Linked DNA regions of Mus musculus. The protein of the gene in region 4 purifies or fractionates together with the protein of the main gene of each other region. This does not show direct contact. Links are inferred from orthologs where the notes say so. Each region holds a gene or a part of one and is shown on either strand. Other genes may lie near its edges.

What was found.
Region 1: the proteins of Fgfr1 (region 4) and Cdc37 purify together in Homo sapiens (affinity purification with mass spectrometry; 3 studies listed by BioGRID and IntAct, with this or other methods). This does not show direct contact. The link is inferred for Mus musculus from reciprocal best matches to the Homo sapiens genes FGFR1 and CDC37.
Region 2: the proteins of Fgfr1 (region 4) and Cd44 purify together in Homo sapiens (affinity purification with mass spectrometry; 3 studies listed by BioGRID and IntAct, counting the BioPlex papers as one, with this or other methods). This does not show direct contact. The link is inferred for Mus musculus from reciprocal best matches to the Homo sapiens genes FGFR1 and CD44.
Region 3: the proteins of Fgfr1 (region 4) and Rps6ka3 purify together in Homo sapiens (affinity purification with mass spectrometry; 4 studies listed by BioGRID and IntAct, with this or other methods). This does not show direct contact. The link is inferred for Mus musculus from reciprocal best matches to the Homo sapiens genes FGFR1 and RPS6KA3.

Annotation. Positions count from the first base shown.
Region 1 is NC_000075.6:21,147,121-21,151,175, forward strand, and holds the start of Cdc37 (hsp90 co-chaperone Cdc37), read right to left. Parts: upstream 2,815-4,055; 5' UTR 2,738-2,814; coding exon 2,636-2,737; intron 1-2,635. UniProt on the Homo sapiens protein: Co-chaperone that binds to numerous kinases and promotes their interaction with the Hsp90 complex, resulting in stabilization and promotion of their activity. Inhibits HSP90AA1 ATPase activity.
Region 2 is NC_000068.7:102,898,852-102,903,144, forward strand, and holds the start of Cd44 (CD44 antigen isoform c precursor), read right to left. Parts: upstream 2,815-4,293; 5' UTR 2,496-2,814; coding exon 2,417-2,495; intron 1-2,416. UniProt on the Homo sapiens protein: Cell-surface receptor that plays a role in cell-cell interactions, cell adhesion and migration, helping them to sense and respond to changes in the tissue microenvironment.
Region 3 is NC_000086.7:159,254,478-159,258,595, forward strand, and holds the start of Rps6ka3 (ribosomal protein S6 kinase alpha-3), read left to right. Parts: upstream 1-1,304; 5' UTR 1,305-1,642; coding exon 1,643-1,711; intron 1,712-1,728; exon of another isoform or gene 1,729-4,118. UniProt on the Homo sapiens protein: Serine/threonine-protein kinase that acts downstream of ERK (MAPK1/ERK2 and MAPK3/ERK1) signaling and mediates mitogenic and stress-induced activation of the transcription factors CREB1, ETV1/ER81 and NR4A1/NUR77, regulates translation through RPS6 and EIF4B phosphorylation, and mediates cellular proliferation, survival, and differentiation by modulating mTOR signaling and repressing pro-apoptotic function of BAD and DAPK1.
Region 4 is NC_000074.6:25,556,747-25,560,306, reverse strand, and holds part of Fgfr1 (fibroblast growth factor receptor 1 isoform 1 precursor), read right to left. Parts: intron 2,577-3,560; coding exon 2,487-2,576; intron 2,237-2,486; coding exon 2,064-2,236; intron 1-2,063. UniProt on the Homo sapiens protein: Tyrosine-protein kinase that acts as a cell-surface receptor for fibroblast growth factors and plays an essential role in the regulation of embryonic development, cell proliferation, differentiation and migration.

The DNA of each region.
Region 1 (4,055 bases), on a different chromosome or scaffold from region 4:
GGCACTGGGCTTCTCTGCTGCCACACACTGCTGCCTGGCAGGTGGTCTTCCCAGGAAACTGGAAGGAATAGGTGTGTGGGTGGGACTGGGAGCCGAATGCTGGATTTGGGGAGGATGGGGAAGGACTTTCTAGGAGTAATGAGAAGTTTTCCCCAAGAAGGTGAGATGCAAAATTCCTAAATGGAAAGTACCTGCCCTCAGCTTGAGAGTATAACAAGCACAGGGGCCAATGAGAGGACTCAGTGGGAAAAGGCCTGCTACCAAGCCTGATGACTTGAGTTTGATCCCAAGAACCCACATGTAAGGAGAAAGTGGACTCTATCAAGTTATCCTTTGACTGCCACAAGGATACCTCGGCACACATACATAAGAATTAACACACACAAAAAAATTAAGATGTAACTTAAACAAAGAGTATAAGACACACAGGTATATGGGTATAGAAGTTTTAATTTGGGGAGCAGGTTAGGCCATTGTCTCTTTACTGCTGCGACAGAGTTGGAACCCAGTACCTCTTGCACGCTAGAGAAGTACTCTACCACTGAACCACACATCCAGGCCACCCTCACATCTTGGTAGTATGCTACAGGCCTGCAGGTAATGATGGCACAAGGGAGGGGCAAGAGCATGGCTTGCTCACACTTGGGGTTCTAAGGTCTCAATCTGGGGCGTCTGTTTTGGAGAGATGTAAAACTGCAGAGGACTGTATTTTATTTGCTTGGTGGTTGACAGGATCCCCTGTAGCCTGTGCCAGCCTCACACTTACCGTGGCTGACGACTTTGAACTTCTGACCCTCCTGCTTCCCTCTCCCCAGTGCTCAGACTACAGGCCTGCCCCACCATGGCTAGTTTTTAAGCAGTGCTAGAGATGGAGCCCAAGGCAATGCCATACAACTGAACTCCAGCCCATTTGGTTTTTGATATTGTCTCATGTAGTCCAGGCTAGCCTAGAATTTGCCCTATATCGAGGACTGACTCTGAATCCCAGATCCTCCTTCCTCGTCCTCCTCCTAAGACCTGAGTTTACAGGTGTGCTACCATGCTCAGAAAGTAAGGTTATGTGGGAACATTATCTGGGAGGTCCAGAGTTAACTAGGATGCTCTGAACCCTGGAGAGAGACAGATGAAGCTGGAGGGAACGGGCAGGTAGGACAGGACAGGCTTGGTTTTCTGGGTTGGTGAGCTGTCTTTTCTTTCTCTTCCTCCCCTCCCCCCTCTCTTTATCCTACCCGACTCCCGGCCCCATCCCTCCAGACAGGGTTTCTCTGTGTAGCCCTAGCTAGCTGTAGAACTCTCTGTAGACCAGGTTGGCCTTGAACTCACAGGCCTGCCTGCCTCTGCCCCCTGAGAGCTAGGATTAAAAATGTGTGTCATCATCATCTGGCTCCTGGTTTGGTGAATTTTCAAAGATGGCTACAGTTCATATAGGAGCCAAGGTGGGAAGGAGAGGGTCTACTTACTATACTAGAAGGAGCAGAGGTTCTAACAGGAAGTTAGGTGGGTGGGGTTTCCTGGAGTAACAGGAAATAAGAGTCTACAGGAGGTGAGAATAAGGAGAGCCACTGGAACTGAATGATGGGCAAGAGTGGAGATGGAGGTCAAATACAGAGGATAAGGGGGCTCTACAGGTATGTCCCATGTGGGACTCAAGTCTATAACCCAGGGAAAGGGATCCTGGACTGGGGAATCCCAGCTGCAAGCTAAGATTGACAGTTAAATTAAGGGCTCATTTAGTTTGGAAGTTGGGGGGGGAGGGGGTCGTCTCTGGGCCTTTAATAGAAATTCATGCCTAAGATCCTGGGAAATAGATGCCATAGTCAGAAGTTTTGTGGCTCCAGACTCTAAGTAGTGAGGAGAGGCAGAAGGGAGACGTGCAATATGAAGTGGGTGCGTGGCTGGGCTATGAGATCACCTAACAGAACCTGGGGTCCAGACTCTGAGGAAGAACAGAAGGTTCTGCACAGGATAGTGGGGACCCTACACACAAGGGTCAGCTTGGGGATGGGGAGAGGCAAGACTCTGACTAAAGTATTACCAACTGATAAAATGGCTCAGAGTGTAAAGGTGCTTGTGGCAACGTGGGGCGACTGGAGTTCCACAGCCAGTTCCAACATGGTGAAAAGAGAGGCCCAACTTCTACAAGTTATCCTGTGATCACCATAGGCATGCTGTGCCACGTGCACACGGGAACACACACAATAAATAAACTTACAAACAGAAGAGAACCATAGCACAGAGAGAACGCCTGGAGATACAGGTCAAGAATTACGGTGAAGAAGCCAGGAGTCCTGGGATGGAATTAAAAAGTCCGGCCCTGCATGAAGGCACATGTCTCTAATCCCAGTACTGGGAAGGCAGAGGCAGGAGGATCACTGTGAGTTAGAAACCAGCCTGTTCTACACAGCAAGTTCTAGGCCAGGGAAGGTTACACAGTGAAATTTTGTTTCAAAAAAAAAAAAAAAGAAAAAGAAAAGAAAAGAAAGAGAAAAGTCTAGATTGTGGAGCAGGCGGCTCCAGATGTCAATAACTAAGGTCTCCCCCGCCCCCACGCCAGGTGGCCTGGGGAAGAGGTCAGAACTCTAGAGCGGGGGGTCCCGGGAGTGGGGGGGAAGGGGATGAGCGCGCACAGCCCCACCTGGTGCCGCCAGCGGAAGAGGCTGGCAGTGTCTATGTTGGGGTGCGTCTCGTCCTCATCGTCCGACACCTCGATGTGATCCCAAACGCTGTAGTCCACCATCTTCGCTTCGGAGGCCCGGACTGGCTCCCGGGGCTCCACACGGCCGGGCGCTGAACAGGGACCCACAAGGGCTAGAGAGTCCGCTCGGCGAGCCCCGCCCCTTCCGCTTCCGCCCAGGGCGCCGCGCAGGACGGCCCCGCCCCAGCGTCGGCGCGGGACGTTACGTCCTTAGCAACGGGAGTCGGCGGCATTGGCAACCGGAGGTCTTCTTTAAAGGGCCAGGAGTATGTGGTGAGGCCTTCTGGAAGTTCCCGCCGAAACCAGACTGACCATCCTTTAGAAACAAAAGGTTAGTCGCGTTGGGCGTGGTGGCCCACGGTAATCCAAGTACGCTAGAGGCAAAAGCAGGTGGCTCTCCAGGAGTTCTAGTCCAGCCAGGGCTACATATTGACACTGTCAAAAAGTCAAAATTGGCTGGGCGGTAGTGGCGCTATGCCAGTACTCCGGAGGCAGAGGCCGGCGGATCGAGGCCAGCCTAGCCTACAGAGTAATTTTAGGGACGGTCAGGGTTGTTATACAAACAACACTCTAAAAAAAAAAAGTCAACATTGCATACACTAGCAAGATTTTATCGAAAGGACCCAGATGTAGCTGTCTCTTGTGAGACTATGCCGGGGCCTAGCAAACACAGAAGTGGATGCTCACAGCCAGCTAATGGATGGATCACAGGGCTCCCAATAGAGGAGCTAGAGAAAGTACCCAAGGAGCTAAAGGGATCTGCAACCCTATAGGTGGAACAACATTATGAACTAACCAGTACCCCGGAGCTCTTGATTCTAGCTGCATATGTATCAAAAGATGGCCTAGTCGGCCATCACTGGAAAGAGAGGCCCATTGGACACGCAAACTTTATATGCCCCAGTACAGGGGAACGCCAGGGCCAAAAAGGGGGAGTGGGTGGGTAGGGGAGTGGGGGTGGGTGGGTATGGGGGACTTTTGGTATAGCATTGGAAATGTAAATGAGCTAAATACCTAATAAAAAATGGAAAAAAAAAAGTCAAAATTGAGGCTGGAAAGTTGGCTCAATAGTTTGGAGACTGGCTGGTCTTCCAGAGCACCCGGATTCTGTTCCCAACACCTACATGGCCACTCACACCCATCTGTAAGTCCAACCCAGGATATATATATTATGTCCCCATTTGGCCTTTGACTACACCAGGCATGCATGTGGTGGACAGATATACTTGCAGACAAAACATTAATATACAATTTGTTTTTTTTAATCATGTTTGCCCTTAATTCCCACCCCACCCCCACCCCCACCAGAGTCTCACTGTATATAAGACAGCTCTGGCTGTCTTGGAATTCACTATGTAGA
Region 2 (4,293 bases), on a different chromosome or scaffold from region 4:
ATGTTCTGTGTGTACCCGGGAGTAACTGAGTGAATGGAGATACTTCAGCAAGGACAGGGCTTGCTTCCTTACTTCTTCACCTGGGAAGGCCTAGCCTACACTCTAACTGCCAATGCTCAGAGGAAGCAGAACGGTGCCTGCTGTCCCCAAGTCCCAAGACTCCCAGATGAACCCCATCTTCCTCAACAATAGAGGTACAGTTTCCTAACCACGATCTTTGGAAAGGGAGAGGAGAGATGCAAGTGGACACTTGTCCCCTCTGCCTTTGGTCTAGGGCCACTTTCTTCCCTTGGGGGAGAAGTTGCTTTAGGCCTCCACCACTTCTCTACCGTTTGACTGCCAGCACAGTGATGGATGCTTCCTCCTCTTACGCCACCCCTCCCCAACGCCCCTCCACCTCCATTCCCCACCCTCCCCACCCTCAGCCCCACCACCAGCAACTTTGCTGGTCTCAGTGCTTCCTCATCATCTTCCCAAACCAGTCACTCCCAGAATGGGGCAACCATGATGCCTCTCTTCTCCCTCCCCTTTCTCTTTCACACACATCCTGTGCTAAGTCACATCTCATTTCAGAGTCTCAGTTCCTTCATCGGCTTTACAAGGGCGTGAAAGCCAGGGTCCATGGAGCTGCTGCTACTGGCACCAGCTCTACTTGTCCTGGAGCCACACTGTACAACAAGAAGGTAGAAACCCCAAGGCAGAAGAGAGCCTGCTGGCCTCAGAACCTGACTCCAGGGGGGGTTGGAAGGGCAACAGGTATCTGGGAGTAGACCTTTTAGAATAGCCGGGAGACAGGCCAGGAAAATGTGGGAGTTCGGCTCCTCAGCCCCAACAAAGGTGGGAGCAGTGTGCCAACCTTCCTCCTGTCCTCTGAGGTCAGGTCCAGGCTCTCTCTGTCCTTCCCTCATCCATCCTGAATGTTTCTGCCTTCCAATGGATCCTAGGAGCTCTGGCTCCCTATGGGAGCCTCCACTGCAGCCTCTGCTGGCTAGACTGTTACTGTCCCTGAAGGTCTTTTCAACTTTGTCTAGCACTTGCTTTTAGATATCCCATGGCAGTCTAAGCTAGGGAACTTAATGAACCCAAGTTCACACCCAGCCCCACTCCTTGCTGTGTGACTAGGGGAAGTCACCTAACCTCTCTGAGCCTCTGTTTCCCTACTGGTAAGGTGTTGGGGGGAGCATTTGTCACCAAATCACCATGAGGATAAAATGAGATAGCTTATGTGAATTACCTAACATAGCACAGCAAAGAACACACACACAAATGGCCAATAGTGTCCTACTGCAATTATTATTTGCATTACTTCTGCATCAGCATTCAAAATTTAACATTCAACAATGGAGGTGCGATTTTCTAATCCCAACGTACCATGTCTAAAAAGAAAAAAAAACCCAGTTTGGCACCCCTTACCCCCAGAACTGGATTTAGTAATTCTTGTTGAGAGGAACTCACTGAAGTCTGAGCTGACTTAATGACCTAGCTGGCACTTCTTCAAAGAAAATTTAACTATGCTGATGATAACCAAAGCCTTCGTGGAATTATCTGTTCATATATAGATAAAGGAGGGGGGACGCTTGAAAATGAGCCATACTGGATATTTGGCCCAAGCTCCTCCTCTCCACAGCCACCAAAGTCACCAACCACATTTAGATGGGATATTAGGGACTGCGCTAAAGTTCACAGGTTACCCTGATACAGGTCCCCTCCTGCTCTGAGGCTGCCAGGCAGCAAATATGAACCCTGTTGCTGTTTGACTTTGCCTAGACTGCAAGCACTGCGCGGCTGGTCGAATTATTGCTCCGGTTATGTGTCCTCCTTGGTCCATGTTGGAACCTTTAGGCCACTCAGAGCCTCACACAAACCAGTTCAAACTCCCACAAGCTAAAATAAAGCCGTTGGTGACCAAAGCTGACTTTAAGAGCCCCGAAAACTAGTCAAAGCTGGGACCCACTGTCTTCAGCTTTTCAAGGCTCCTTTCTGAAAAGCTCATTGCCCAATCTCTGGCCTGTAGCTATGTGCACACCTTGGGGAGTGCTCTACAGGTCTGTTCCAGTGTCTGCCTCTACCTGCCTAGCCACAGTTAGCCAGGCTTGGGGAGCCCTTGAGCACCAGAGCCTGTTAGTCGGGACAGAGGCTGCGGGCATCCAAGAGTACAGTTACTTTTGAGCCATGTGCTCCAGCAAGCATGGGGACCTCGCCCAAAATCTGCGGGCAACTTGCCCAGCAAACTTTCTTCTCCCTTTCTCTTTTCCTTTCACCAAAGCAGCACTTCCCAGGCGTAAACTCTTTCCAATAGCATAGCCCCAAATCCCAGCTTTGCTTTGCTAGCCCAATTCACTACAGTCCCTCCCCAGGGCGATTCAACCCAGAGGCATCCAGCTGGAGTCCTCAGGCGCGGTGGCGGGCCACTCACCGATCTGCTGATGTGGATGTGCCAGGCTCAACTGCAAGAGGCAAAGTCCCCAAGCTGTGTGCCACCAAAACTTGTCCATGGCGTGCTGGATGAAACGGAGGGATCTAGTCGCCTCTGGAAAAGGGTCGTGGGGAGAAGGGCAACGAGGGTGAATGGAACCTGTCACTGGCTGGGGGCTGCTGGGCAATGAGACCGCTTCGGAAGTTGGCTGTGGTTTTTATTCCAGGCTTTGAAAGAGTGAGTGACCTAAGAGGGAGGGAGCGCGCGAAGGACACACCCAAAGCGAGGGGGCTGTGACTAAGCAGCCAACGGAAGTTTAAAGACACACCAGCCTGCTTTCGCTACTGCCCCTGCACTCCTGCCCTGCTCTCTTGGACAGAAGAGAATGGCCGCCCCCCTCCCCCCCCCAGCCCCCGTGCGCCCACGTTCTCCAGGGCCACTCCACAGGCTTCCTACCCTGGCCCAGCCTACCAGCCTATGAGAAGCGCTGCCTGGGACAAGGAGAATGACTGAGTTCTAAGACCTCGCCCCTCTCAGTTAAATCTTCCAGTTTCTCCTTTGCCACTAAACTTGGGAACCTGGCTAGGGAAAGACTGGTTTTCCCAGGAAGCTGAGGAAGCTGGACTTATCTTAGGGAGGAACTGAAGAAAGAAAGAGGCTGAAGGGAGAGAGAGAGAGAGAGAGAGAGAGAGAGAGAGAGAGGGAGAGGGAGAGATCCATCCTAGTGGAGAGTGCTTTCCTGGCCAGGGTGGGGACTGAAAAGTGGGGAACTTGTGGGAGTGTTCTTTCCTCTTTCCCTCTGAGAGAAGTCCAAACCGCTCATCTGATCTTTGATCCGGGGAAAACCCAAGGGTGCTCAACACATTTCATTCATGCTCTCAAAATATCTACCAATTTCTTAAATCCTTCTCGGACTCACAATCCACCCATCCATTCCTCTGTCCACCCATCTTCCTTCTGCAAATGCACTAATCTAGCCATACTACACCTGCCCACCAATTCTTGTATTCGCCCACCTGCACAACTTTTCAATCCTTTTCACACCCCTCCTCAGCTCATATCTGTTCATCATATTTCCTATCCATCCCGACGCACATACATGGTTCCCGTCTCTCATTCTACCCATCCCCATATCCACTCACACATTTAACTGTTCTTTCTTGTTTACATTTTATATTCTCTTTGCTGCAAACTTTAATACATTCAAATTCCCCTTTACATCTTGATACATTTCAAAGAGGGATGCACATTTGCCATAGTCTTCAAGGGAGAAATCTCAAGGCTGAAAATCGGGGAAAATCGTATGTAAAATTGCAATTCCCTATCTTCTCTAATACCCTGCAAGTTGCAATTTGGATATCAAAAGCTCTGTTTATTTTTAATGTGAACTAAATCTGAGTGGACTTCTTGCTGAATGAGAAACACAGAAGGCATGGCCAGGGCAGGACCCGGAATGAATCATGCCAGAATTTCTGAAGGAAAATGATATTTTGGGATTTACTGAAAGAAACTGAGAAAGTGAGAGAAATGTACACAGCCACCTGTCCATCCATTTATTCATCAAGCACGTAATGAGTGCCAGAGGGTTTCAAGAGAAGCAATCCTGGTTTGGTCTAGGCACTAGCTCCCACACAAGCCAGTGGCTGCTGCAGTATAAAATATACTGCAAACTACAGCTAGGACTGGGAAGATGGCACAGTGATAAAGTGCTTGCTGCCAAGCATGGGACAAGTTAGATCCTTGGAACCCACATGGTGCCTTAGGCAAGTTGTCCTCTACCTGTCACAGGCCTGCCACATACACACAATTAATAACTGTTAAAATGATTAAAAATAATCATTTTATTTTTCAGCCAGCTTTTTCTGTGTATAGACTAA
Region 3 (4,118 bases), on a different chromosome or scaffold from region 4:
GTGTGTGTGTTTCTTTCCGATGCAGGGCGGTTAGCCAGGGGCTGCAGTAGCTTTCCACTCAGCCCAGCGACTTTTACACATCCCAGACATACTCAGCGCATCTAAGCAGCGGGCTCGAGAACCCAGGACTGAGCCTTCCCGGAATCCACTCAGAGCGCCCAGCCATTAATTCTCGAACTCTTAGAATTCTGTGGCTCCGTTGCCGACTGAGGATTGGGTTCCCTTAACCTAGGGCTTCCTCTTCTCGGGCAGGAGGAGGAGTCACAACCTCCCCTCCCTTTCTCCTCCGCCTACGACCAGCTTGATTTAAAAAAAAAAATCTAATCTTTTATTTAAAGTCAACGGAGAAGCAGGAACCCCGCGCTCCTGCCTAGAAGATATTTTTACTAACTCCTTAATCTCTGCCAAGAAGGGCAACCTTAAGGAACCTGTTTTCTTTTAAGCTTTAGGTAGCAAGGGAGGAGTGTGACAGTCTGGGCCGAAACTCGAGGGCTCTATGCACTTGGGAAGGGTTATTAGGGCGGAGGTAGGGTGGGACGAAAAATTTCCAAAGTACTAAACATTGAACACGAGAGTCAACTCGAAAAGCTTTGAATCAAATTGGGAGCCGAACGTACGTATGTGTGGCTAGCTCCCGGGAAAGAAGCCTCTTGAGTCCCCGTCCAAGCAGGAGAAAAGGGGTCAGGTGAATGAATACCCAGCTTGTGACCCTGAAGGAGGAGAGTCTTGGGCCAGGAGGGGATGTGCCCATAGCCTAGGCGCGCCCACGCGCACCCCTGGAGGAGAAAGGCCGAAAAGACACCTCCTGCCTCCGCCTGGGGCTGCTACCACCGGACTGCGCCCCCAGCGCCTTGCCCAGCTTCACCAGCTGAGCGCGAACCCCTCTGCTCTCCTATTCTCAACTAGTCTCCGAGCTGTTAGGACTCGTGGCAGTCAAAGGCACCTCGTCCGCCCCGCAGAGCCCATTTCTCTCCCCACCCCATCTCCCGCCAACGCCCCCAAATTTTTTGGGCTCGCCCTTCCTGAAAGTAGGCGAGGCCCAGAAGCTGAGGCTAGAGAGAGGAGGTGGAGGAGGAGGAGGAGGAGGAGGAGGAGGAGGAGGAGGAGGAGGAGGAGGAAGGGGTAGGAGGTGGAAAAGGGGCGGCGCCGAGCGGCCAGCCAGGGGGCGTGTCCGGCACTGGCCCCGCCCCTGGGTGCGCGCGGTGGTGGCGGAGGCCGCCCAGCCTCGCTCTAGAGAGACAGGTATCGCTTAGACGCCATGTTGTGAGCGGAAGTGGGGGAGCGCGCGGCCGTCGCTGTTCTGCTGGGATCGGGCGCGGGAAGCGGCGGGGAGGGGAGGCGGGGGGCGGAGCCGTAGTCCGGGCGGCGGAAGGAGGAGAGGAAGAAAGGGGCGAGCCCTGGTGCCTGGCGGCGGCGCAAGGCTCTCGCTTGGAGTGCGGGCGGCTGTGGCTAGGCGCTGGGCGTTCGGGTGGTCGGCGTCGGCGTCGGCGTCGAGCTCGCTCTCGGGGGAGCCGCGGCTGCCCGGCTGCTGCTTCTCGGCTCTGCCTTGGAGCTCGAGTGGCTAAGGAGCCGAGCCGGCTGTGGGGCGGGTGGGGAGGGAGGAGGCGGTGAAGGCGGCGGCGGGCCGGGGAGGGGGGGAAAGATGCCGCTGGCGCAGCTGGCGGACCCGTGGCAGAAGATGGCTGTGGAGAGCCCTTCCGACAGCGCGGAGGTGAGTGCAGCCGTGCGGCAGGGCAGGCGCGCCCCTTCCCCACGCCCCCGCCGGCGCTAGCTCTCTTCCCCGGAGCTGCCCCCCTTAGACCACCTCCGCCGCCGGCTCACATCTTGTTCCCGGGGCGAGATTCTGCTTTGGGTCGTTGGGCTTTGCCGATCTGTCTGTGTCTCCTTCCCGCACCCTCGCCTCTCCCTGCTTTTGGGGTTGGGGGGTGCCGGTGTGGCGGCGCGTGGGGTTTGGAGTGGGCGCTGAGGCTTTGCAAAGAGCCTGTTTTAATCAACTTTGCGTGGGGGAAGCAGGAGGCAAAGCAGGAGCCGGCGGCGGGGAGTTGGGAAGTTTGGCCCTGCCGGCTCTAGGGTCTTCTCCGGAATCTTAGAGACTTTGGATTCGGTTCACCAGGAGCCAAGACTTCAGTCTGGCCGCCGGAGGGGTTTGCTACAGGGAGACGGGCGCCCACAGGGCAAGGTGGGCGAGCCAAGCCGGGAGGGTTTTGAGTAAGGGGTCCAGGACTGAGGGATCCCCCCACACCCCGGTCAGTCTGCCGCAGCGCTCTCTGCCGCTGCTGCAAAAGAAAAACGGAGCGCCTTAGGTCCCCTACTCCTAGGTTTTGAGGTCACTGAGTTGGAAGACCCCAGTATAACTTTTGCTTCCTGTCCATGGAGGTGAGCGGGTGAAATTCAAGGAGATCAGCGGACGCTGTAAAAGGGCTATCTGATTTTCCTCTCCCGGGATCTGATGATCGGCCCTGAGATACCCACCCCAGTGTCAGAAACCCAAACAGTATACCCAAACAAGGCAAAACAGAATTTCCGCGGACACATCCCAGCACCGAGCTTTTCACAGCCGCCACTGTCCCAGAATCAACTGGCGATCTAAAAAAATAATGCAGACAAGATCCATTCCAGGGTATCAGCGCTCCTCTCCAGAGTGGAAAATCAGTTCCTGATGGTGGCGCGTCTGTGATTCCTCTTTCTTGACTTTTCGCTGAATTCTATCCTCGCAGCGGACTTTAGGGGATTACAGAATGATAGGCTGGGTGTGTGTAATAGTTACTGAGCGAGTGACCCCATTTCTGGAAAGCATGACTGAAACGCGGGGGTGGAATGGGGCAGGCTCTGATGAGTGGTGTACTTGGCGGCAGCCACTGCCCCCATCGGCCTCCGCAGTGTGAGAGGTGGGTAGGGTTACTGGTTACGTCAGTAAAACTCGGGCTCAGTTTGGTGTGAGATGCGGGACGCTGACATTCTCTGGGAGGGGGGAGAGGGGGAGGGAGGAATCCGTTCAGATCGTTTTTTCTAATTTTTCTCCCCTGTCACCTCCACTACCATATAAAAATATTTACTTGTTCTTAAATGCAGGAAGAGTTGTAATAAAGCTTACAAGTTCATGCTTAATAATTTACTACTGGATAATGCTGTTCTAAAATAGCAAAGACATAGGTATATGTTACTTTTTTTTTTAAAGGAAAGGCTGGTGTAAAAAAGGAAATCGTGTTTTTACGACTGGCAGAATACAAGAATTTTATTTGAATTTAGAGCCAATATGATACTATAAATCTTTAATAATAAAGTTAAACTTAGAATGCTTAACCGTCATTTGAATGGGTAGTGTGGAAAAACAGTATGGCAAGGGAGCCTCTTCATTTTTTCTTAAAGAAAAAAATTTGCATTTAAAATACAGCTATAAAGGTGGTTAAAATTGCTGAACCTGTCGAAGAAATTGTATTTTCTTATAATCTGCTTTTTATTTTAGGTTTTTTTTTTCTTTAGTTTTTTGAAACAGCCCAGGAACTCACTATGTAGACCAGACTGGCCTTGGTCTCACAGAGATCCACCTGCCTCTGCCTCCCAAGAACTGGGATTAAAGGCGTGTGTCTTCATGCTTGGCTATGAGTCTGCTTTTTAAATATACACAATAATTATGATTCAAAAATAATCCACTGATACATTAAAATGTTTTTAACAACAAATTGCCTTTGAATAGTTTGTTCCTTTGATTGTTTGTTAATCCACATTTTTCCTTGACATGTGTCAGTATGCAGGGAGAAATCATTTAAAATTCTACTTTATCCTTTTTTCTGTATAGTATGCATTTAGACAAAGTACTCGCCTACTTATTTAGCATCTACTATATCCAAAAGTACTATGTTAAACATGCTGTTTCGTTTTTATCCTCCCTGTAACCTAGCAGGGAGGATTGTGATCCCCCACTGTTACAGAGTAGGAAACTAAATTCAGTGGTTAAGAGCACAAAGATTATAAATAGTAAATGGCAGAGCCATAATTTGAAGCCAGGTAGATACAAATTGTATGCTTTGCTTTATGTTAGAATAGGTTCTTCTGACCATTCGTGGAAAGAGTCAAAGCATAGACATGCTAATAGTTAGAGATCGTGTATTTTTATA
Region 4 (3,560 bases):
TGTGCACGCCATTGCTTGCGCATGTGCACACAAAATGAATGCACATAAATATCACACAGAAACCCCCGTTGCTTCTAGTTGACTCTGGTCAGACCCGTCCTCCTCCTTCCCGTGCTCTTGCATGGAGGAGCTCCCCCTGCAGGCTGCTTACCACAGCTGCCCTTTGACAGTCGCCTTCAGATGTGGTTACAAAATCCTAACTTGCAAACAAAAGGACTTGGTAAGTAAGGCCAGGTAAAGCTTTCCCCATATTCTTTCTTTAAAAAAGGAAGGAAGGAAGGAAGGAAGGAAGGAAGGAAGGAAGGAAGGAAGGAAGGAAGGAAGGAAGGAAGGAAGGAAGGAAGGAAGGAAGGAGAAAAAGAACTGGTGGTGGTGAACACTTTTAATCCCAGTACTCAAGAGGCAGAGACAGGCAGATCTCTGAATTCCAGGCCAGCCGGATCTATAGAGCTAGTTCTAGGCCAGCCAGAGCTACACAGAGAAACCCTGATTGGGGGTGGGAGCGGGGAGAACAAATAATTAATAATGAATAGAGAAAGAAAAAGATTGTGTGTGTGTGTGTGTGTGTGTGTGTGTGGGTGTGTGTGGGTGTGTGTGCGCGCACATGTGAGTGTAGGTGTCCACAGAAACCCTGAAGCTGGAGTTATAGGTGGTGGTGAGTTGCCCGAGGTGAGTGCTGGAAACCAGACTCTGGTCCTCTGGACCAGAGTAGAGTGCTATCTGCTTAATCACTAAGCTGCCTCTCCAGCCATCCCCTCTCACTTTTCTTATACAGGAGCAATGAACAGCCATGCATGGTGGCACATCTCTGTGATCTCAGCACATGGAAGGCTAAGACAGGAGCAGCAATGGAAGTTCAGGCCAGTCTGGGGCACATAGAGAAGGAACACAGTAAAAAAAAAGTTAAAAAGGTATGAGAAAAGAGACATATTTGGGGACCTTGGAGACTCATCAGATCTCTAAGGAAGAGATTCTCATCAAAATGTTCTTCCTACAAATACAAAGGACTTGACCCCCCGGAGGGAGAGGAAGCAGCTTATCAGCATAGGAAGTGCCTAATGGTATCAAAAAGCAACACAAACGTGTTCACCCAGCTGTACTTCTTGGCAAATGTCTAGTGAGTCTGTCATTCGAATATTCTGTTACGGAAGGTGACTGGTTTTTCCTTTTAGGACTTGGGGGCTGAAGATGAAACTCAACAGTGCAGGCTTCTAACACCCAACAGGGAAGCGGAAGCACTGGGGAAAGGCATGGGAGAGAGGGAAATGGATTATGGGCACTAAGAGCTTAAAACAGATCTACCCCGTCGGATCTGACAATTCCACTTCCAGGAATCGGTCCTGAGAAAGGTCCTTTAAAAGTGCACAAGAGGACCAGTCGTGGTGGCACACGCCCCTCTTTTATCCTAGGGCCCGGATTGCAGAGGCAGGTGGATCTCTGTGAGCCTGAGGGCAGCCTGGTCTGCATAGTGAGTTCTAGGCCAGGCAGAGCTAAGGAGAGAGTGAGACCCTGTCTCAAAAACCAAAGGGAGGGAGGGAGAGAGAGAAAGGAAGAGAAGAGGGAGGGAGGGGAGGGTGAATGGTGGCCTGTAAGGTGACTCAACTGGTAAAGAAAGGGACTTGTGACCAAGCCTGCTGACCTGAGAGCGATATTCAGGACCCACCTAGGTGAAGGAGAACTGAGTCCTCCCAGTTTTCCTCTGATCTCCACATATGCATATCCTCCCGCAAATAAAAAAATTCTAAAGTAGTAAAAATCAAAACACTGCAATTCCCAGGAATCTGACACCCTCTTCAGACCTCTGTAGGCATTAGGCACACATGTGGCACATACATACATATATACACACACACACACATACATACACACACACATACATACACGTGAAACCATTATAAAATAAACTTTAAACTAAAACAACAACAACAAAATCTCACCTTTACAAAGGCAACCAAAACAACAACAAAACCCAAAGTAATCATAGCAGATAATAGAGACTTGCTATCCCAGTCCCCGCTCTAGCGCCTTACTCTAACTTTTCTTTGGTATGTACACACGCGTACCTTGTAGCCTCCAATTCGGTGGTCAGGCTTAAACTCTTTGCCATTTTTCAACCAGCGCAGAGTGGGGTTGGGTGTCCCACTCGACGGGCACTTGAACTTCACCGTCTTGGCAGCGGGCACCGCATGCAGTTTCTTCTCCATTTTCTCTGGGGATGTCCAGTAGGGAGCTACAGCTGTACAGGAAAAGCCAAAGGAGACGAATGAGGGCAGCAGGGGCGGCCAGGCTCAGAAGCCAGGGCCCAGGCAGGACCCCATGCCTCCCGTCTACCTGTTCAGTAAGTACCCTAGGTCTTCTAGAGAGGCAGCAACCAGGCACCATGGCCCCCAGGCCCTCTGAGCCTCTCTCCTCCCACTTTAGCCAGGCCTTCCTCTAAGTCCCAGCTCCCAGTCTCGAAGGCAGTAAGATAGAAAACAGTGTCTCACGCCTACGGTTTGGTTTGGTGTTGTCCGTCTCTTTCTCCTCCGAGGAGGAGTCATCGTCGTCGTCATCATCTTCCGAGGATGGGAGTGCATCTGTGAGAGGAAGGAGGGGGACTGAGGAGCGTCTAGACCTCCATCCAAACAGCATTCGCCCTGTCTAGACAGACCACCTCACTGCGGTCAACGCGGTGACATGGATAACGCAACAGCCGTCCCATAAGGACTCCCAATTTTCCTGAATTTTGCCTCAGTGACAGTTTGTGTTTAAGAGCTGTGTGCTCCAGTGCTCATCCCGGCCCCAGCGCACTGCCTTCTGCCTAAAAGTTCAGATGGCTCTATCAGGGCCAGCTCCTTTTTTTCCCCCAAATTTATTTAATTCCAGCCTATACACCAAGGCCACTCAGCTAACAGTACCACTTGGGTATCCATAACAGCAGCTGAGGAATCAGTATTCTCTGGACATCAGCCTTTGAGAAACCCAGGCAGATCTAGACACCTGGGCCTTGAGGCTACTTCTAAAGCCTCCGGCTGACCAGCCTGCAATCAGAATCTTCTGGAATGAGTTTCCTGAGGGCTGGAGCTGCCTGCTTTCCTTTCTCTCTCTCTCTCTTTCCCCCAAAGATGTCTTATTGTTTTTAAAACTTATATGTATCTATATGAGCCTGTGTGAGTATGTCCCATGTGTATGCAGGAGCCCAAGGCGGGTGGGCCAGAACGGGGTGCCAGATCCCCAGGACCTGAAGTTACAGGCAACTGTAAACAAGCTATGTGAATGCTGGCAACCAATTCCACTCTACAAGAGTGTCAGGCTCTCTTAACAGCTGGGCAATCTCTCCTGCCCCAGAGCTGCCTTTTTGGTGGATGTTTTAAGACAGGGTGTCTCATGATGTAGAGATGTAGACAAGGCTGGCTTCAAAAACAAAACTCAAAAACATACATCCTGTAGAGTGCAGGGACTAAAGGTGTACACTACTATGCCGGCTATAGCTAGCCTCACTCCCCAAATGGGATGCACTTTGTGTAAATACAGGCTATGTTCAGTAGCTTCTTTAATCCCAGCACCCGGGAGGGAGAAGC